Linked DNA regions of Lepisosteus oculatus. The protein of the gene in region 2 purifies or fractionates together with the protein of the main gene of each other region. This does not show direct contact. Links are inferred from orthologs where the notes say so. Each region holds a gene or a part of one and is shown on either strand. Other genes may lie near its edges.

Evidence for each region.
Region 1: the proteins of llgl1 (region 2) and pard6b purify together in Homo sapiens (affinity purification with mass spectrometry; 5 studies listed by BioGRID and IntAct, counting the BioPlex papers as one, with this or other methods). This does not show direct contact. The link is inferred for Lepisosteus oculatus from reciprocal best matches to the Homo sapiens genes LLGL1 and PARD6B.

The regions. Positions count from the first base shown.
Region 1 is NC_090711.1:9,497,034-9,507,044, reverse strand, and holds the start of pard6b (partitioning defective 6 homolog beta), read right to left. Parts: upstream 4,177-10,011; 5' UTR 3,847-4,176; coding exon 3,784-3,846; intron 1-3,783. Other genes in the region: brefeldin A-inhibited guanine nucleotide-exchange protein 2, read left to right, coding at 7,992-8,124. UniProt on the Homo sapiens protein: Adapter protein involved in asymmetrical cell division and cell polarization processes. Probably involved in formation of epithelial tight junctions.
Region 2 is NC_090714.1:11,061,107-11,070,590, reverse strand, and holds the start of llgl1 (lethal(2) giant larvae protein homolog 1), read left to right. Parts: upstream 1-5,194; 5' UTR 5,195-5,789; coding exon 5,790-5,870; intron 5,871-9,484. UniProt on the Homo sapiens protein: Cortical cytoskeleton protein found in a complex involved in maintaining cell polarity and epithelial integrity. Involved in the regulation of mitotic spindle orientation, proliferation, differentiation and tissue organization of neuroepithelial cells.

The DNA.
Region 1 (10,011 bases), on a different chromosome or scaffold from region 2:
TAGCTAACTTTTTTTCCAAGACAGAATGGCTCTTTTTTGCAAAAGCTACTGTAGCTTAGGACTTCATATGATTTAAATGCCTGCCATCTGAAAGAAATTGGGGATTTTTTCCATAGTAAAATAGCAAACATACGATTCCACAAAAACACTACTTAGTGATTTCAAACTACAAAGATGACTCACTATTACAAGTTTATTCAAACGGTATTATTTAAAAGTTTCAGTGATGTCAAAAGTTGCATTGTCATCAAATGCTTCCACAAAGATTGATGAATGATGGCTGAACGCTGTTAAAAGAATAAGTGCTGCACTAGATTAGAGCACAACACAGCAGGGCAAAAACAATTAAACTGGCAGACTGTATACATCGGTATGACATATTGAATTCAAATCAAACAGTCATTGGGTTAAACTGCAATGCAATGGGAAGTTAGTTGTTTAAACGAAGTACTTGATTTAAACAAATGATTCAATTTTGGTTTAAACTAAATCAATGTACAGTTTTGAGAACTGACAGTGATCAATTGAAACAAACCAAGAACAGACTGATGGACTGACTCAACCTCAGCATCACTACATCACCTAACAACACTTTCTTTGCATTCTTAAATTCAGCTTTGGATTAGTTAGCAATGTGCTACAGTTCTTTAACTGATCGGCTTGCTTCTTTAGACATTTATTCCCTTGCTTCCGCACTGCAGGTGACTAAACAGTCACTAATAAGTGAACCCTTACGAGGAGCAGGTGGGGATGACAATGTATCAAAACCATCCTAAAACAAGTGGGTTTTTTTCCCTTCTGCAGAAGTCCTCCAGGTTACATTTCAAACGCTCCTCAAGGAGTACATTTCGGAGTCTTACAGACTATACCAAGCATAAACTAGGCACAAACACAAGAACCCGTCAGGAGCAAAACACAATAGACCGCTCACCTATAATTTGGTTATTAGCCCTCTCTTCAGATAGAGAGGGCTTGTTGACTGCTAAGCCAGGCAGGGTGTGTTCATGACAAAAACCTTAATTCTGCTGAGCAAATAAATGCTTTCCTGTTAAGATTAGAGCCACACTTTCATTGAACTTTCTGTGCCAATAATAATAATACATTACAATGTGCTGAACTAAGTAATAACCGTTCTCATAAATTCAGAAAACAACACACCTAATATGCAGATGTTAATTTCTGGGCAAAGAACTGACCCTCCCCAGCATGGCAACATTCTAACTTTTCTGGCTTCCATTATACTTTTTGACAATTTCATCATCAAGGTTTCATCAACAGAATGGCCAGCGGGCCAGTCATCTGTTCAAGATATACATAATCAAAGATTACACCAAAACCCAAAAAGATCTCCGTTACCATCCTACTATATTCCGTTGCACCATAAACTTTTGGACTGTGATTTATTCAAGTCGTGCCCAAGTTCAAGTTCATATGTAATGACCAACGAACTTTAAGGCACTGTGTGATAAGACTGTGCTTCTTCTTCACAAACGAATCTGATCAAATTTGTACTTCCTATAGAAAGGTCCAGGGAAGGCATGTAAAGCACAATACCAATGCAAACAGAACTTCCTATGTTAGACATTCATTATTGGGTGAATAAGCTCTTGAACCAAATACTGCAACGTCAAGCTTCTTATCAGATCTATGAAAAACCCTCAGGATATGTATTGCCACTGGATAATATTATGACAGTAATATGGGAATGACATCTAATGTTTGTTTCATTTTTTACACAAAACCAACGTGATCTTTTCTTCTGTTAAGCAAATCTTACAGTTACATATTGAAGTGCTATGAAACGAAACTGAAACAAAAGAAAAACGGGAAAAAAAGAGTTTTCAGTTTTCTATAAAATGCTTTGGAACAAAAAAAAGTGAACCAAAATGGTCCAATGATACTTTCAAATAGATAAGTTAATTTACCATATTTCTGACCAAATTGTTTTTACTGTTAAGTAGCATTTTTATTTCTGGAAGTGTTTCAGACAGCATTGAGGGTAGAGGTTGGTTTTGGGCTGAGGTCGGGTAAGCGTCTGAAAAACCACAACGCGTGGAGTAAAACAAGCATCACAGTTGTGTTTAAAAACCCAATATATAGAGAGAGTGTGCTCAGATTAATGTCTGTTTAAAATTTGCGATGGGCTTTTTTGGGTGGTTCTGACCCTTGTTAGGTGTAATATTAAATTCAATCTCACCCAAGAATTTATGATGGGCCCAACCTGCAACTCAAGACATAAGTAATGAGACTTGTTACTTGGAAAGAACTAACAGCAACACAAACAAAATCCTACAACTAACAAATTACAAACAGCTGCTGAACCCTGAACAACATTAGACAAGGAACAAGTAATAGGTTTATTCCATGCTGAAAAAAAGAAGAAAGAGAACACAACGTTTCGGCCGTGGAGCCTTCTTCAGGTGTTGGACATAAGGAGGGACGGGATAAAAATAAGAATTCTACACCACTGTTACAGGTGTGTTTTAAATCCTTTAAGATAATAAAATACATTTAAGAGAGCATGATGTGCAGTTAGTTTCTCATGGCCCTACTCCATATGTGTGACATGCAGCAATAAGACACATTGTACCTCAGTACAATAAATCAAGGTACCTGTACAAATTCACCGCTATCTTTTCAAGAAGACTGTTTAAAACAGAAACATTATTTTAATGGCTCAGAAACCGAGCCTTAAAAAAAAGAGTGTGAAACTTTGTCACTTTTACATTTTCACATTCTGTTTCCATCTCACACCGTACGCGCCAGGGCCCGGCCATGTATGAGTGGTGATCATGAAGTTTACAGCGACAATAACCGTAGCAACATGTTCTTTAAAGCGCACACCGTGTCAGGACAGCGATTTAATCTGAACTGTGACACAGTGCTACCGAACTCCCTTTCCATTGCGTGGGGCAAAAACAAACAAAAAGAGCCCGATAAAAAAAAAGTGTTTCTTCAACGGCTTTAAGGAGTGTGGTGTCGAGGGAGGTGGAAAGTTTCACAGCTGTTTTGGGAACGTCCTGTGAAGTGCGTCTTTGTCCGATATTGCTCGATTTAAGAATGAAAGAAGATTAAGAGCAGGCTAAGAGACTCCCCCCCATGAAAAGATACATCGGAGACCTAAAACCTGCAGGACAGCGTCGGCTCAAATGAGTGCAGAAGCGCTCAAGTTCAAAGAACAGAAAATCCGAGTTCCCCCGCGTTCCCCGCAAACGAAACGTTTTACAAACTAAGCCCTTTGGCTGGAAGTATCGTAAAAACGCAGCGCCAGGTGACATTATCGATGATCAAGCATCGGGTGTCTTTAAACTAGGCGACGCTTCAACTACAACAGACCCTTCGGGGCGACCCTCGTCTCTTGTAATTCACAGCTGCCAGCCAAGGCGACTGGGTTTGTTGTTGTTTTGTTGCTGGAAGTCGAAGGTCGATTTCCACGACCCGATCAGGTTGTTTTTTTTTTTTAATTACCCGCCGCTGCCGTCGCCGGCTGTGTTACTAGTTACGGGTCCTGCGAGCCCACGCCGGCCGGTCACTCTCCACGGCCGTCACCCACGGAAAACAGCCCGGGCAGGCTCGGTTCGACCCGGGAATGCCGCAACACGCAGGTTTGAAGTGGCCCGATGCCCTGCTCTCCGGGGAGCGGGGATCCGGGACAACTTTTAAATACCTAACACAAGAGACCGACGGTGCGCCGTCACCCACGGAAGCAGCCCGGGCAGGCTCGGTTCGACCCGGGAATGCCGCAACACGCAGGTCTGGAGTGGCCCGTTGAGCCGTACGCACCTTGCTCTTCACCTCCACGGCGCTCAGAGTCCGGCTGCTCGGCACTCGGTGATTTTTATTCATCTTTTCTCGCCAGGACACCCTGTTATTTGTCAGTCTCGCCCTCCCCAGGGCTACTGCCCCCGCTGGTCCGGCTCACTCCTCTGTTTTGTATCCGCGGGAGAGTGGGTCCGCTGTAATCCAGGTATTGCAATGTAACCAGCCCACCCCCACGCACACACGCGCGTCTTGTGCCAGTTTCGGTATTTTCTCGCAACGTCTCCCTCTCCTGCAAGCTCGCTCTGGTCGCCTCCGCCTGACAACAACCTGCTTTCAAACTCTCTCTCTCGCTCACACGCACACTCGCAGCGCCTCGGCGGTGACGCAATCCGCACCCAGGAAACGGCTCCAGGGCAGCCTCGTTTCGGCGACGCGCGCTCCCGTCGGTACAATGCTGCGCGCTTCTGCCTCTCAGGTCCGCGGCGGTCGCCTTGCGCGCACTCGTTCCTTTCCGGGGAGCGCTGTCCCGCACGCGTCTGTTCTGTACATGCAAATAACTCTATAAAGCACATGATGCTTTAAAACTCCAGCAGAAGAGGACGGCCGGCTGTAACAGACACCCTCTTACTGGATTTTGTTGTCTGTTCAAAGTTGAAAACACATTTAATAACATTATTTCACTTTTTAAAAGGAAGATGTTTATTATTATTTCAGCACACAAGCAAATTGTTTTCACAACATATCCAAACTGGCTGTTACTTCCTTCTGACATTTTCATTTTAACAGTGGAAACAAGCAACAACTGTAAACAATGTCTTGGAAACAAGCGTCGTGCAAATACAGCAGCTGCGTCCCCCGTTTACAATATCTGTGAAAATATTTTCGAATTGTTTTCTATCATATTGTACACAATACCATATTTTAATATGTATAGTTATTAAATAAATATCAATGTGTTTGCAAATACCCTCCAGATCTGATTTAAAGGAAAAACATATAAGGAACAATATACGTGTGGAAATATGTAAGGATATAAACCACAGGAATGCAGGAATTTCCACGTATCCCTTTTAATGTTGTGCAGCAGTCGTGCACACTCTGTAATGTGAGATACATCGCTCCTATTTTCTGTTATTTTCCGAATGGATCAGTATTTCATGACTATGGGAAATCGGCCAGGATAAAACGCTGTAACAGTTTGTGAACACAAGTCAAAGCAGGTTTAATTTATGCCGATATACGTTGCTTTGTTTCAAGAAGAAAGCAAGAGGGGCTCTTGTTACTGTACAATTGTCAATTGCCCATTTTAAATTCTTGCATGTAACTCATCTGTGTCCCTGTATAAGTCACTCTCCTCTCCTCGGGAGATATTAGGCGGCATTTTCTTTTAGCCCAGTGCCACCCGATAAAAATCAACACGTGGTTTCACACATCACACCCCATCGTGTTGATTTTGGTCGCTCCTTGGGTTGTCATGACTGTGTAAAAGAAAAAGACAGTACATTGAGCAGGTTGAGAAGAGTATAACTGAAAGGCCTTGCTGCCCATTTCATTATTAGATAGCTTCCATGTCTTCAAAAATATTACGGCGGGGTTGTTCCTGGGGTCCTGGCGCCTGAATGACGTGTGTGCCCTATTTTCTGCGATTCTTTATTAATCTGTTTGATTCACTCAGTCGGGATAGACTTTGACAGTACTTTTTAAGACCACGGGTATCCGAATCAAATTGCCACATTATAAATTATTTTCCAGACCAATGGGGCTTTATTATTTATGTCGTGTTTACGTCTCTAGCCCCAGTACCAGATTCCTTTCTTAAGTTGCAAAGTTCCGTTCAGAACTGAGTACCACACAGTGTTCTCAGTAAGACACAGAACTTTTGCCATTTTCCAGTACTCCACAGTTCCACGACGTCTGCTGATTATAGTCACGGGACGAAAAACCTACAGTACGTAAGAAACACTAGCAAGTACACCTAGCAAGCCCCATCATTATTACTCTTAATGCCAGAAAATGCTGGGAAAAGAGTATTAAATGGTCACAGACATGCCAAACGTTTGAAGTAGGAAATATATATATATAGTATATTGTATTATGTTGGGGGGAAACTTTCCTAAGCACAACCCCTGCATAAAAGGTGGAAGCTGCACATTGGTGGTGGAGGGGAGTCCCCATTACCTGTAAAGCGCTTTGAGTGGAGTGTCCAGAAAAAGCGCTATATAACTGTAAGCAAGTATTATTATTATTATTATTATTATTATTATTATTATTATTATTATTATTATTATTATTAAAATCGTGCAAGGAACCGAGTTCAAAACAGCGCCCCGTTGACTTGCTGTTTTCTTCTCTTTCAATACCGAGGGGACACGCGTCTTGGTAGCAGTATTTAGGGGTATCTGGGAATGACCGAGTACTTGAAATAAAACGCGAAAACTAAAGAAATTTAGTTAGGTTGTCTGTTTAATTTTACCGCCATCCTCTGGATCTTATCTGAAACTACCACCCCTTGTCACACCAAACCCTAATCAATCCAGAGTAGAGAGGTCATTTGAATTTTATGGATTTATTGTCTTGATTTGTGCGCCTGAGATGACCTCAGCCTGGCAGTAAGGACGAGAGAGGATGCCAGAGCCTCCCAGTTTTATGAGGGTTAGGCCAGGGGTGCCGCTTCTCGGGTGATACTGGGGCGGAGGACGCAGTGCGCGCTTATAAGGAGAGAGAGGAGGTGTTCACGAATCGGGATATTTCCACGGAGGTGAACGGAAATGGGCGAGCCTGGTGATCCCGAACCTTCGTTTGGAACTTCATTAATCCCAGATCGCCTAAAGATTTCGAGTTCAAAAGAATGTCCCGCACTGACACGCTAAACGTTATTGTAATCACGGGTTAGTAGAAATCTATAAATGGGTATAGATGTGTAGACATTTTACTGTACAATAATACAGTTCAATGTTTCGCTTTACTATAATACATTTTATTCACTTCCTGCTATAATATGGAAATTTCTCATCCAGAAGACTAAAAACGTGATCTGACCAAGGTATTAAAATCATAAAAAGTTAAGGTGCTCAGTGGAATTGTTCAGAAGAAATAATAAAACGCGAACCGGATGCCACAAGTAGAAACCTAAGTGAAAGTGCATTTAAAGATAAGAACAGGAGACCCTTCTTTACACGAAGGGTGGTAGGAGTTTGTAACAAGGTGCCCTGGCGTGTAGGTGAAGGCACAACATTGGCTCCTTTCAAGAAATAGGTGGATGAGGTAATGGGATCAATTATTACCGAACGGGATAGAGGGTCTGATGTCTTCTCGTTCATAACTTTTATGTAGATTGTGCGCGAGTCGATGATTCGTAGGCAGGGAGGAAAACTCTGACTTTGACAGATTAGATTCTTGTGACGTTTGTTGTAGTTGTGTAGGCTGAGGTAGCACTATTTTCCAGGAAAAATACTTCATTCTCTGTCATGATGACAATGATGCACAGCTCCAATGACGTCATTCGTGATCACATTTTGTTAAGAAAATGACACTCCTATGTAGTTTGTGCATGATAATGGAGTGCACCTGTGTCCGAATTGCGATATGACGTATCCCATTACATTTATAAATCATACATCTTCATTCGCTTTTCCTGATGTTTTCAAACGAACCCGATAATATCGTAGAAGTCGGATTTAAAATGCAGAACAATAAATGCTCGACTTCTGTATTGCACTCGCACACATCAGACCCGTAATTTTAATAAATAACACATAATTGTAGTACATCTTAATTATATAGTTTCAATGATACGGAAACTATTTATTGAACCACAAGTACTCATTTTAAATGACAGAACTACACTTGACCACAAGACTCCTTAACATTGTCCCCGTCAGTGACAGTAACGTCATTTAGGGAGGTTTATCTTCTAAGTCCGAGAGCAATCTTTAAGCAAATAACAAGGATTTCAGTGGCAACACGGAGATATTGCTGAAAGGTCCCAAAAGTGCAGCGTGTAACCTACCCCATGCAAATTCACATTAACTGAGCTGGAGCTCCCGGCCGCTCTACGTCAATGGAAGCAGCTGAGAGTCACGTGACGAGATGTTGCCAACATGGCGGCGCAGTGCTGAGGTAGCAGCTCCGTACACCTTCACTCTCCTTGTGGAGTTTTAATTCATGCCGTTTAACCGTCTCGGAGCGTGGGATTCCGTTGGCAATGGCGATCTGAAGCACGGAAAGCAATGCAACAGAAGGAGGAAAGCAGCAAAACCAAGAGCATGTTTTTGTCCCGGGCTTTAGAGAAAATCCTGTCCGATAAGGAGGTGAAGCGAGCTCAGCACAGTCAGCTAAGGAAAGCCTGTCAGGTAGCACTAGGTAAATAACCATTAAGTTTATGAGTTTGTTTTATTTTTTTCTAATGCTTCTGAGCCATAACCGGTCTTGAATGAAGGTGTTAATAAAGATTTTCACATGGGGAGCGCATCCTGTGTGCTAAAGAAAGGGGTAAAAGCCGAGGGCCTATCCGGTTGTGGGTAGCTAAACTGCATCCAATTTTAAGAAGACTCGTTTTAAAGGACTGGAATCTTTTCAGATGAGCATCTGATGAAAGCTTGATTATGACTTGAAATCAAAACGTGTTTACATCGATACTTACACTTAGTGTCTTTGTAATAAACTCTATTAAAACGAGAGTTTACAACTCTCCTGAACGAAACTGACAGCGAATAGATTATTTAAGGAGTTTAGTTGACTCGTATAAGATGACGAGTTAAAATGGGGTTGGTTATTCAGCAATCGCCGTGTCTCGAGTGGCCATTTCATTTGTTGGATCTCCGGTGGCAGGCAGGTAACCGATTCTTCAGCCGTGAACTGTATCCGAGTCATTAATTCTTTATGGCGCTGGTGAAACGTGGCGCTTCCTATTATTAACCGAAGGGATGGCGTGTTTATGACAATCGTGTAGGCGGAAAATTACGTTGCAGTCCGTGCATTCCTGTAAACACAACCTACTGAATGAACTTATCCGCTGGGGCCTCGAACACGGTGTATTGGGAGTTAAGGTGTTTGGAATTCCAGTTTCACATCACAGCACATCAGTGACTCCACTTCCTTCTCCGTAGGAGGCGAGGCCGACTCTCACAGTACAGGTGTACTCGCTCAAAAGGTGAGACGAGGCAGTACTGTGATTGACAGCTGAGCTTTGAGCTTCTTCTGCAGTCCCGAGAGACTTTTACACGCCTCCTCCAGCAATCTGCACACGAGCACGGATGCTAACCGTCATGTATTCCCTTCCCAGGAAATTTGATCTTTTATATGTTGTTACATTAAAAGAAAAAAAACAGACGACAGCTTTCGTGCTGTTACCCATTGCTCTGTGTTTACATCTACGCGTTTGTAGTAGACATCGTGTAGGTTTTGTATCTGGCATTTAACCCAGTGAAATTACGCGGAAACAAACCATTGATTCGCAGCTATTTCGAAAATATGATGCGTAATACTTCTTAAAAATGAGAGCGAATTGTGGTCTGTAAATATCAAGGCATGGTTTTTGCTTCATTCTTTTTTTATTACTAAGATCTTGGAATTCTTGCGTGTTTTCTGGTCACCCGTCTTTGCTGCTTTACTAGAACTTCAACCAGTTGTGTAGCTTTCGGATCTTAAAAGCTTGATGTCAGTTCTCACATTAGATGCCTCCAAATTACATTGGCGACTAAGCTGCAATGGAGACCTGTCGTGCTCAAATTTAATTTTTTGATGTCAGCAAAGTGCAAAGTCTGAAAATTAACAAAATCCGCTGTTGCGTGAATCACCCCTGAATAGATTCCCGATAGAAACGCAAAAAGTAGTTTAATGTGAATTGTCCAGATTAATGCAGCTTGAAAGCAAAGTTTTCTTTGGTACTTGATGTAGATTGATTTTGTCTCACAAAGAAAAATTTAATGGAAAGAAGAATCATATTTCTAAATTATTACCATTTTTGGAAATCAGGAGCTAGGAGCTAAACATGTATAAGAATCATTGGTCATTTCATGGTTTTGCTATAGAAGCCTTCTTCATTCGTCATTGAAGCTGCTCATGTTTTAACAGACAGAAGCTAACAGAGCCAGACAACTATTGTGTAAATGTACTGAAATACTTCAGGAGTGCTCCTCAGGATTCAGTGCACAGGTTATGTATGAGATAAAGGTTTGTTCTTTGGGGTCTGACTCTGACGTTACTCTTTCCAATTTACCTGGGTAATTTAGATTCTGCTGTGGTTAA
Region 2 (9,484 bases):
GTTTATTGCTGTTTAAAGGTTATTTCTTTTTTTTTCTTTAGTTTGATGGAGTTGTGAGTAGAGAAACAAGCAGGGAATTTTTCTTGGATTGTTTCTGAACAATGTTAAGGCATTATGTATGCCTATTGATCAGCTGTTGTCTTCGCATAAAGAGATGCACCATAATATTATGCTTTTTATATCATTAAAAAGGATTTACCAAATTTCCCTATTATAGTTTTTGTTTTTTGTTAAATGACAATTATTCATTTTATTTTTTTCATTCCAGGTGCATTTGCATGATGTTAAGTTTAAATCCATTTTAAAAATACTTAATCCATTAATGGCATTATTTTGAAAATGATTACACCTCAGTTATATTTTTCTATTATTGCATAGACATATAGATCTGTCAATGTATTTGCCGACATCAACAGTGAGATTTCTGTAGAAAATCCATTTCCTTATGAAAGTGAATTAATTTTCCCTCACAAAAAATAGTAAATTCTGTTTATATTAGGAATTGTTTTAATGCAGAAATTCCACAGTGGAGATTAATATACAGTATGCAGTCACAGGTTAAATGCAATCATAATTTTAGCTTTCACCAGAATGTACGAAGAAGTTATTGTGTATGGGACTTTTATGTACAGCTGTCTCCCTGTGTGGAGTATGCGATCTTACAACAAAATGTATTTTTGCTGAAGAGCATTTTGATATAATATAACAGGCACACATGATTAGCAATCCAGGGAAATATTGGTCTTTTTCTTTACAAATAGTTCAATAAGCAAAGTGAGTTTTATATAAGGGTTGTATTCATAAGTGTAATAAGTTTTGTTTGAATTAAAGCAGAAAGACGCTTTTGATTTTGGTTTGGTTTTGTTAAATCAGCATATCTTATAATATTGATCTGGTCATAATCTCATCAAAGGTAGGATAAGTGCTTCTCATTAATAAATTTAAAAGCAGGGCAATTGTGAAGTGAAATGAGTGATATTCTATGTACATGCAAGTGAAAAATATTTTTGAAATGTCTCAAATTAACCTGTCCAAGTATCAGCAGCTAAAGAGACGCCACTCACCTGATTCTAGCAGCACTGCGTCTTCACAGCTCTCGAGTCCTGGACTTCTCTGAATGGAGGCATTTTCTATGTGGAGTTTGCATGTTTTTATTCTTTTTGTTGGGGGGAGTCCAAGCACTCAGCGTATCCCTTCACCTTCCAAGGACATACTGGCTCGGATAAGATGTTCAACTCAGGCGCTGACAATTTTTGATTCAAGATGTCAAGGCACTGTTTGTATTGGGTTCAATTTTGAGTCCAAGCACAGAAAAGTGACGTGACTGCTCAGGAATCAATCAGGAAAGAGCAACCCGGTCCGTTCCCGGGCTCAAAGGAATATGTCACTCTGGCGGGCTGAGACACGGCTGACCAGTCCTATTCGTGCAGGGCCAAGGTGTTGGCACATTTTTCATCCCAGCTGAAATCTAATTGACCTTCCTTGGCTTGTGATTGACTTTAATAGGCCATTTCACCCACCTTTCCCACTGTTCAGATGCTACTGTTTCAAAGGAACCTAAAAGACCTGTAGACCCACCAGTCCTCCAGCACAAGTGTTGGACAGCTCTTGGATGAAAGACTTGAGAAGACGACAAGGGGGCCTGATGCAAGTGTTCAAAATCTTCAAAGGTATTTGTCAAATCTACAGATGTCCTCGGAATCCACAGTTATCCAGAGGACACAATCGGAAAGTATAGGGAACAGAGGGTAGGTGCAGGTGATGAGAAACAGCTTTGGTCAACCACACTAGGAAGAGGGCCTTCCCCATGTGTTCAAAAAGCCCTCCCTTAAAAGCTGTGATCCAAGTATTCATAATCCTCCAAGGCGCCTGCTTAAACGTCTTCAGAATCACCAGTGAAACATCAGTAGAGAGTAGTTTATTGTCGTATGTACACATATATTAGAATTAATCGCGCTGATCTCTCGGGACATACACAGTACAAAATAATCCCTTACACTTATATAGCGTTTTTCTGGACACTCCACTCAAAGCGCTTTACAGGTAATGGGGACTCCCCTCCACACCACCAGTGTGTAGCCCCCACCTGGATGATGCGACGGCAGCCATAGTGCGCCAGAACGCTCCCCACACATCGGCTATCAGTGGGGAGGAGAACAGAGTGATGAGGCCAGTTCATAGATGGGGATTATTAGGAGGCCATGATTGGAAAAGGCCAATGGGAAATTTGGCCAGGGCGCCAGGGTTAACACCTTTACTCTTTTCGAGAAACACCCTGGGATTTTTAATGACCACGGAGAGTCAGGACCTCGGTTTTTACGTCTCATCCGAACGACGGCGCCTTTTCTTTACAGTATAGTGTCCCCGTCACTATACTGGGGCATAACTGAATTAGCTCAATTCAGTTGACGTCGTTTCTGACTTCAATGCCGTCCTGCCCATGCTGTAATACCCCCTTGAACACAGTGAACACCGGGAATAAAATGGTTTTCTAATGACTTAAGGATAAAGGCTTGATCATTTATACAGCAAATTATCCCGTCGACTGTTTTGAGAATGAACTTTGAATTTTTTTATTTCCATGTTAATCTTGAAAGAAAATACAAGATCTTGTTTCGAAGCGATTTCACATTAAATCGTGTGGTTATTTACATTAAAGACTTTCTAAGGGCAGAAGTCTCGAGCTCGGAACTTTTAACCTCAGGGCGCCAACAGCAATCGGCCTTCTTTTTAAAATATTTATTATTTTTGCCACAAGGGGGCGTCAGACGTTAAAACAATGTTAAGGAACGAAGTCTTAACTCCCAGGACGGCGGAGTTGTGTTCTGAGTAGTTTACCATTATCAATGATTAACCCTTGAGAAAAAACTCAGATTTAGAAACTGGGCGGGAAAGGCGTGTTAAGCATTTACTCCCAACAAGCCTTTCTTCTGCTTCACATTTTATGAAACATTTTTATATGGACTGGGTGTGGTGAATGGGACCCGTATTAACAGCCCAGTCGTAAGCGAATTCTGCAGTTGCAAAAAGGGAGGGGATTTCATGGGTCTGAAAGAAACACATTTATTTTTTCCCCACGCTGAAGAAGTGTGCTTCACAGTCCAGCACGAATTTCCGTGAGAGTCGTGAGGTGTTGGAATGAGACCAGACAAAAACGTACTGCATTTGAGATACATTGGGAGGGAGGGTGACTGCAGAGGCTGTTGTACTCTCGGGTTCTGGTTAATGTCTCCGCTTCAGGTCAAGCCGTGGAGTGTGAGCGAGAAAGAGCATCGCCAGACCCCGGGAAACGCCGATCAGAAGTCGAGCAATCAGAGAGTCTGCGCCCCCGGCCAGCGGACGCCAGGCGCACGGTTCAGCCGCAGCCGTGAAGAACTGCCACTTCTTCTCGTTTCAGTTTTTTTCTCTTCCAGCTCTCGGGCATTTCACCTTCGATGGGGGTGAAACGCTGCTGATTAGCCTTCGTGCAGCTGATTGATAGGAATGCGTACTCCCCGAATAGCTCGGGTCTGGAATAGTTCCTCTGGCTTCCCGGCCTTGGCTGTGATCCAAGCCTGCCTAGTGTCAAGTTCATGTGAGCAGCGCTCTGCGTAAACAGACTGTCCCTCTCCACCCCGCCCCTCCAGACCTGCCAACCTGAAGAGCAGAAACAGATGAAAACGGGGCTTTACTGGAGAGGGATGCTGTGAATGATGGGACTTACTCAGCATGTATCTCTGCGATTTTTCAAATTCACGCTCATTTGTAAAATATATTGCAGATACCCCCCTATTGGACATAAAACGTTACGGTGTGGGCTGTGCTGTAAATTCAATGAAATCAGCTTTAACACATCTTCTCCTCCCGCCTTGGGAATGAAAAAAAAAACACACACACATTCTCATTGCCAAGACGTCTGAACGTGATGACGTTTTCGGAAAGCAAAAAAGAAAAACCGCAGCCGAGCCTAACGTGATCAATAAAGAATGCCGCCGCAGTCTCTTGCCTCTCTGACGGTTGACGCGTTTTGAAATTGCAGCAGACCAGGCGTGCATTTTGACGTGAAAATGCGTTCGTAGTTGATTGGTTTTCACAGAAGACAAATCCGCGTGAAGTATCCCAGATGCACAAGATTAACTTGTAGAAAAGGGGTTTAAGATTCATGCCCTGCTTATATTCAATTTACAATAAAAAGGTATTTGGCAAAGCCGTCATGCACACACAGTACAGCAGGTTTGGGTCGGTGTCATTACTGCTGTGTATAGGTGCTTTATTAAAATCCCACAAACCTTCAGTTCATAGTAAATTGAACATCAATAGAATATCAATGAAACCTAAACACGCTCGTCTAAGCTCAGCTTCCTGTACTACGCGCTGACTGCGCTGGGGGTGTTTTCTGACAGCTCAGCGTTACTCATTACAGGAAAACAACCGCTTCTCGCTGCCAAAAGACTCATCCTGCAGCGTGAGATTGACGAGGCCGAGGAAGGTGCTGACTGGCTCTCCTTCCTGTCTGGAGCAGAGCTGCAGTGGTTTGTATGTGTCCACAATATTAACTTGTGTGACACCCCCCCGCCTCTCTCCAGTCGCTGCTGAATCGCACAGCAGGCTGCTCTCACCTGCTCGGGGGAACGCCGCCTACAGACCTCAGCATTTTCAGCAACTGAGATCTGGTCTTCATCTTCCGTGTTCAATTGTAATTAATACTTATAAGAACTGTGTTCTGTCGTGTGCTACAGGGCCCTTTTTCCCCCCAATTAAACACAGCCTTGAGCTGGATGTTTTCAGCTTTAAAAAGAACAGTTTGCTCGGTGTGTGTGGCGCATTGCAATGGTTCAGCTGTGTTGTAAAAAGCACCGATGCGCGCAGCAAGGAAAACCCCAGAAAATGTTACACGTGTTAGAAGCGCGCTACCTTTAAGAAGAAAATTAATAACGCTATTTTAATTGTAAAACGAGGGGTAAATGCCAAAATACCGCAGTTCCCTCACAGCACAGCTGTAAAACCGCCTTCCTCGGTAACCCCTCTCCTTTTGCAGAGGTGCGGTTGGAATGCGTGAGCGCCGCAGCCTGTTATGTGTCTAAGGGGGCTTCAACTTCTTCCTCGCCCATCCCTCAGCCGCGCACACACACACACACCGTGGAGGGAACCCCCTCCCCATCGCAGAGGGGTTTTCCCTCTGCGGACTCACGATCACTGCAGAAACGTGGCGCATCACACTATTCCGTGATGCTGCGGTGAGTGCAATAGCGTGTTTCTCTACAGTCGGAGCAGTGTCGCCACACACACCTCTGCGCGACCGAAGCACTGAAGGAACCCATTCCGCATCAGCGCAACGCTCGTCGTCCTGCTATCGTTATTGCTTCGTTACAAAAGCAAAGCTGTGGCAATTCTCTTGTACGCACTGAGCTGGGCACCCGTGACCCACATTGGTGAAGCAACGCAACTGTAAAAGCAAACTGAGGAGAGCAGCGGGGACGAAACTACAAATCCCAGATGCTGGAACAATATCCTCACACGGTTCAGTCTCCTGTAATCAACCACTACGGACCTGCCCACTAGCATCTCCTCTCTGATTGGATCCCGGTAGATAAACTCCCCGATCCAATTGGCTGTAGCAGTTGCCAATCTGGACGGAAATGTATCCAGTTCCCCGGTATCCAGTTGCAGCCTTTGAGAACAGACTACAAAGAAACGGGAGCTTGTCTATGGGATCTCATTGTTTTGCACTGATACAAACCTGAGAAGGAATTTACAATTTGGTTTTTTTTCTCCCCTTGGCTCTCACTAATTTTCCCACCGGCTTCAGGATGATGAAGTTTAGGTTCAGGAGACAGGGGAATGATCCCCAAAGAGAGAAAATCAAACAGGACCTTTTTGCTTTTAATAAGGTAACGTTGAAACATTTGGGAAAGACGTCCGTTTCTTTCTGGTGGCAAGCATGCCGACTCGTATTGTATCAGTGAACTGTATTGAGAGTTAAAAGGGGGGGGCATTTTTAGTTTTAATGCACGCTTCAAATGTGAGGAGACGTTCATACAATCTGCATTTATCTTATTTTTAAGCACCCGTGTAAAGGTAGGGCATAGCTGGGAAAAATTGCAGTCTAACGGTCCCGCTAATCTGAGAACAAATCTCTGCATCTGCGTACGGCTAGGGGATTCGTGTGTTGTTGTCTGTCGCCTTCCTAGTTTGTGAAAGTCATGGAAAATGTGTCATCTCTGGAGTTTGACCAGTGCTGGGGGTTTAATGTGTGCTTCTAAATCGATTAGTTTCCTCGTGCTGCAGAACATGGTTTAACAATAATTGAAGTGCTGCAGTTTCTTAGGAGTTAGACACGCCGATGGACGCGGAGAGAAGTTGCATTTCCTCATATATTTTTACAAATCTGTGTTTCTTCCTTCAGTTCACCCCTTCATGTTTATTACCATTGATATTAAGACCAGTCGTCAAAACCCGTTACTCTAATAAGGCACTTTATCGGTCTATTGAGAAAAATCGGTCTATCCTGATTCGCTCTCGGTTTGTACTTTGCGTTTCTCTAGCATTTTTAACTACATTTTAATTCCTTCGAAATGCTTCTATAACAAATTTTGGTCTCTCGTCCAACCTACCAGCTGGCTAATATATACCGTATATATGAGTAGGTGTAGTTTATTTCGCCTTGTTTATTTGCATCATGTAGCGAAGTAGCTCGGTGTTTTAAAACGCGTGCTCCAGCACATTCATAACTGTTCCATTCACATTCATGTCCAAATTAACTGTTGTTCTCGCCTGAATGGATTTACAGTGGGAAAACGGACAATAACCGCATACACTGTCCTTTACGGAGGAGTTAAAACATCGTTTAATGACACGCACCTAAAGTGCAGGGAATATACCATTAGTATGAGTCATTTTATAGTGTGATGGCTCTGATGGGGCACTATGTGGTAAATTTAAATCGAGAAAAAAATGCAAACAATTTACGAGTTTCTGCGTATTTTGTGTATCTCAAACCCCAGTAAGCAACCAGTTTAGGGGTGCATTGCCCACAAAACACGTCTCTACCAGCTCGCGCAGTTTGTTCTGTGAGGAGGTGTATTTGGGATAATCGTACAAGTTTCTGTCAAATGTATGAAATGCCTAAAGGGGGGGTATTGTTCCTCTTTTTGAGAGTGTTGCAGGCACTTCTTTTTCTTATAAATCAACTGATTCCCAGCGCTAGTGTTTTCATCCCTTATAGCGTTTGATCGAGATAATTTTATTAAATTAAACTAGTTGTGACCAGGGCAACATGGTGGTATATTGGTTTAAGATTGTAATTCGTAAGGGGGGAAAGAGACGGTCTTTAAAAAAACAATATGGGACGTGCTCATCATGTTGAACGTTTAAGAGAACTGTTTATTTCTGGGGGAAGGCAGTTTCCGTGTGCTTTTATGTGGGAGTGGGAGTTCAATGCACTATTGCATTTTTCCTTAAACAAATAGCGTGTACTCCCACCGGTAACAATTCTAAACCTGTGCTTTGATGTGACAAATGGTTGGTAATGTGTTTGAAAACCTTCGTCTTTCCACAGGGAGTAAATGCAACCAACAAAACGTGCGTTTTGTGCTACTGTTGTTGGTTTGCCTGTGCTACAATGCAGTTGGAGTGCTTATCAATTCTTTTGATGTTCTGTTTGTCATATATCGTGTGCCCTTGCCGTATTTATGACAATATTGAAGTTGTTTTGTGTTAAAAACCTTTAGGATTCTTTAAGACAAAGGGCCATGTTTAAGTTAAAACCCTGTTAAAAAAATTGCTTCAATATTTTAAAAAGTTATTGCAGGCAGCTTCGCATTACCCACTGCGCTATGTAAACATTGTATTCGGTTCACACAAGTACCTCACGTGATTTTTTTAAAGAGAGAGAGTGATGAATGGAGTGTTACAGGAGCAGGAAGTATAGTTTCTTGTTGAGCAAAACCACAGATCTTGGCAAGTGGAACTTTTGCGGACTGCATTTCTGTGGGATCCTCTTTCTGCTGTTGATGGGGGGAGAGTTTGTCTTCCAACTTTCTATAGATACCCCTCCACTGGGAGGTTGGGGGGCTTGACTGAGGGAGGAGAAATGTGTCCATGAGCCCTTAGTACTTCATTGCACAATGTGAGCTGTGACACATTGCTGTCTCCTTCTGATGGATGACTAAGGGTCCTGTGAGGTGATGTCAGCTGTTTGTTGTCATGTTTGTGCTTCTCTGGGAAAAGGCACAGCTTTTCCTCTATGAATGCATGTTCAAGAACATCCCTTTTCTCCTTCTGACTGGCAATAACATTGGTTAGGCAATGGGTTTGGCATTCATTTTCAATCCAAGTCTGATGCATTTGAAATTTGGAGATGCATCTAGGAAGACTGGAGAAGGGGTGGAATCTCGAGATAGAGGAGCTGCCCGATTTCTGAATCCGAAGGTAAATCAGGGCCCTGTTGTGCCACAGGTGACCCTAGGAATAGGGTAACATCCCTTTCTGCGTGGAATAAAAGATCCCTTGAACAGCATCGATCCGTCTCTTCTCCAGCAGCAGAGAGAAAGCACAGAGCCACATGAAATACAACCAGTCCAAAGGGCACAGTGGTTTTACTGATGAGTTCTGCTCTGCTGATGTTAATGAAGTCCTCCATCAATATTTAATTGTAGCATTTAAAAATGTCACATAGGGTAATCCATCGTCAGACTGCACAGGGGTTTAATCCATCAGGGAGGTGCTTATTCTGCTGGTGCCGCGAAACAGGGCTCACTGGCTGGGTCTGTGAGAGGCGCCCCATTATTGGAGCCCGGTTGTCCCCTAACTGTAAAAAGCAGTGGTGATTGTGGAAGGTCGCGGCATTAACGAGTGGTAAGGATTTTTTTTTACTGGACAGCTTTAGTCTAATTTCGTGAGCAGACTGTCAGTCATTCAGTGCTGTGTAAAAGTGAAACTCTGGATGCACTTGCTTCTTAGATTAACTGCACTTTGAGTGGATTGTCGGAAGATTATGATACATTGATCGTGGCTTGGTGCTGCCTTCAAACTGGTGGATGTTTCAGTGCTTTGAATGAATATATACATTTATTTAATCTAAGAGAGGGTAACTTCATTATTAAAAGGGAAATTGCTTTTTTTTTAAAAAAGGAACGCAGGGATGGCTTGATTTCTTATTAATCCAGAATCAAAATTCAGTCAACCTTTCCAGGCTGGATATATTTGAAAAGGAGGCTTATACTTTTCCACTTGCTTGAATATACTGCTGCCCGATAACATTGTTTAAAATCGGGCTCTACTGCCTTCGGAAACACAACATTGCTCCCAATGCTGGTTTTTCAATTATGTTTCTTTGAAAGCTGAGCTAGTTTTGAATGTTGTACCAGACCACATTGAAACGCGTTTTGCTTGCTTTGCTTATCGTATATAAGAATGCAAGAGAGGTTACTAACGAGAGGGGGTCCATCTCGTCTTTTTGTTAATTAGTAGTTAATCTCCGGGTCTCATCCAGCTGTTTCTTGAA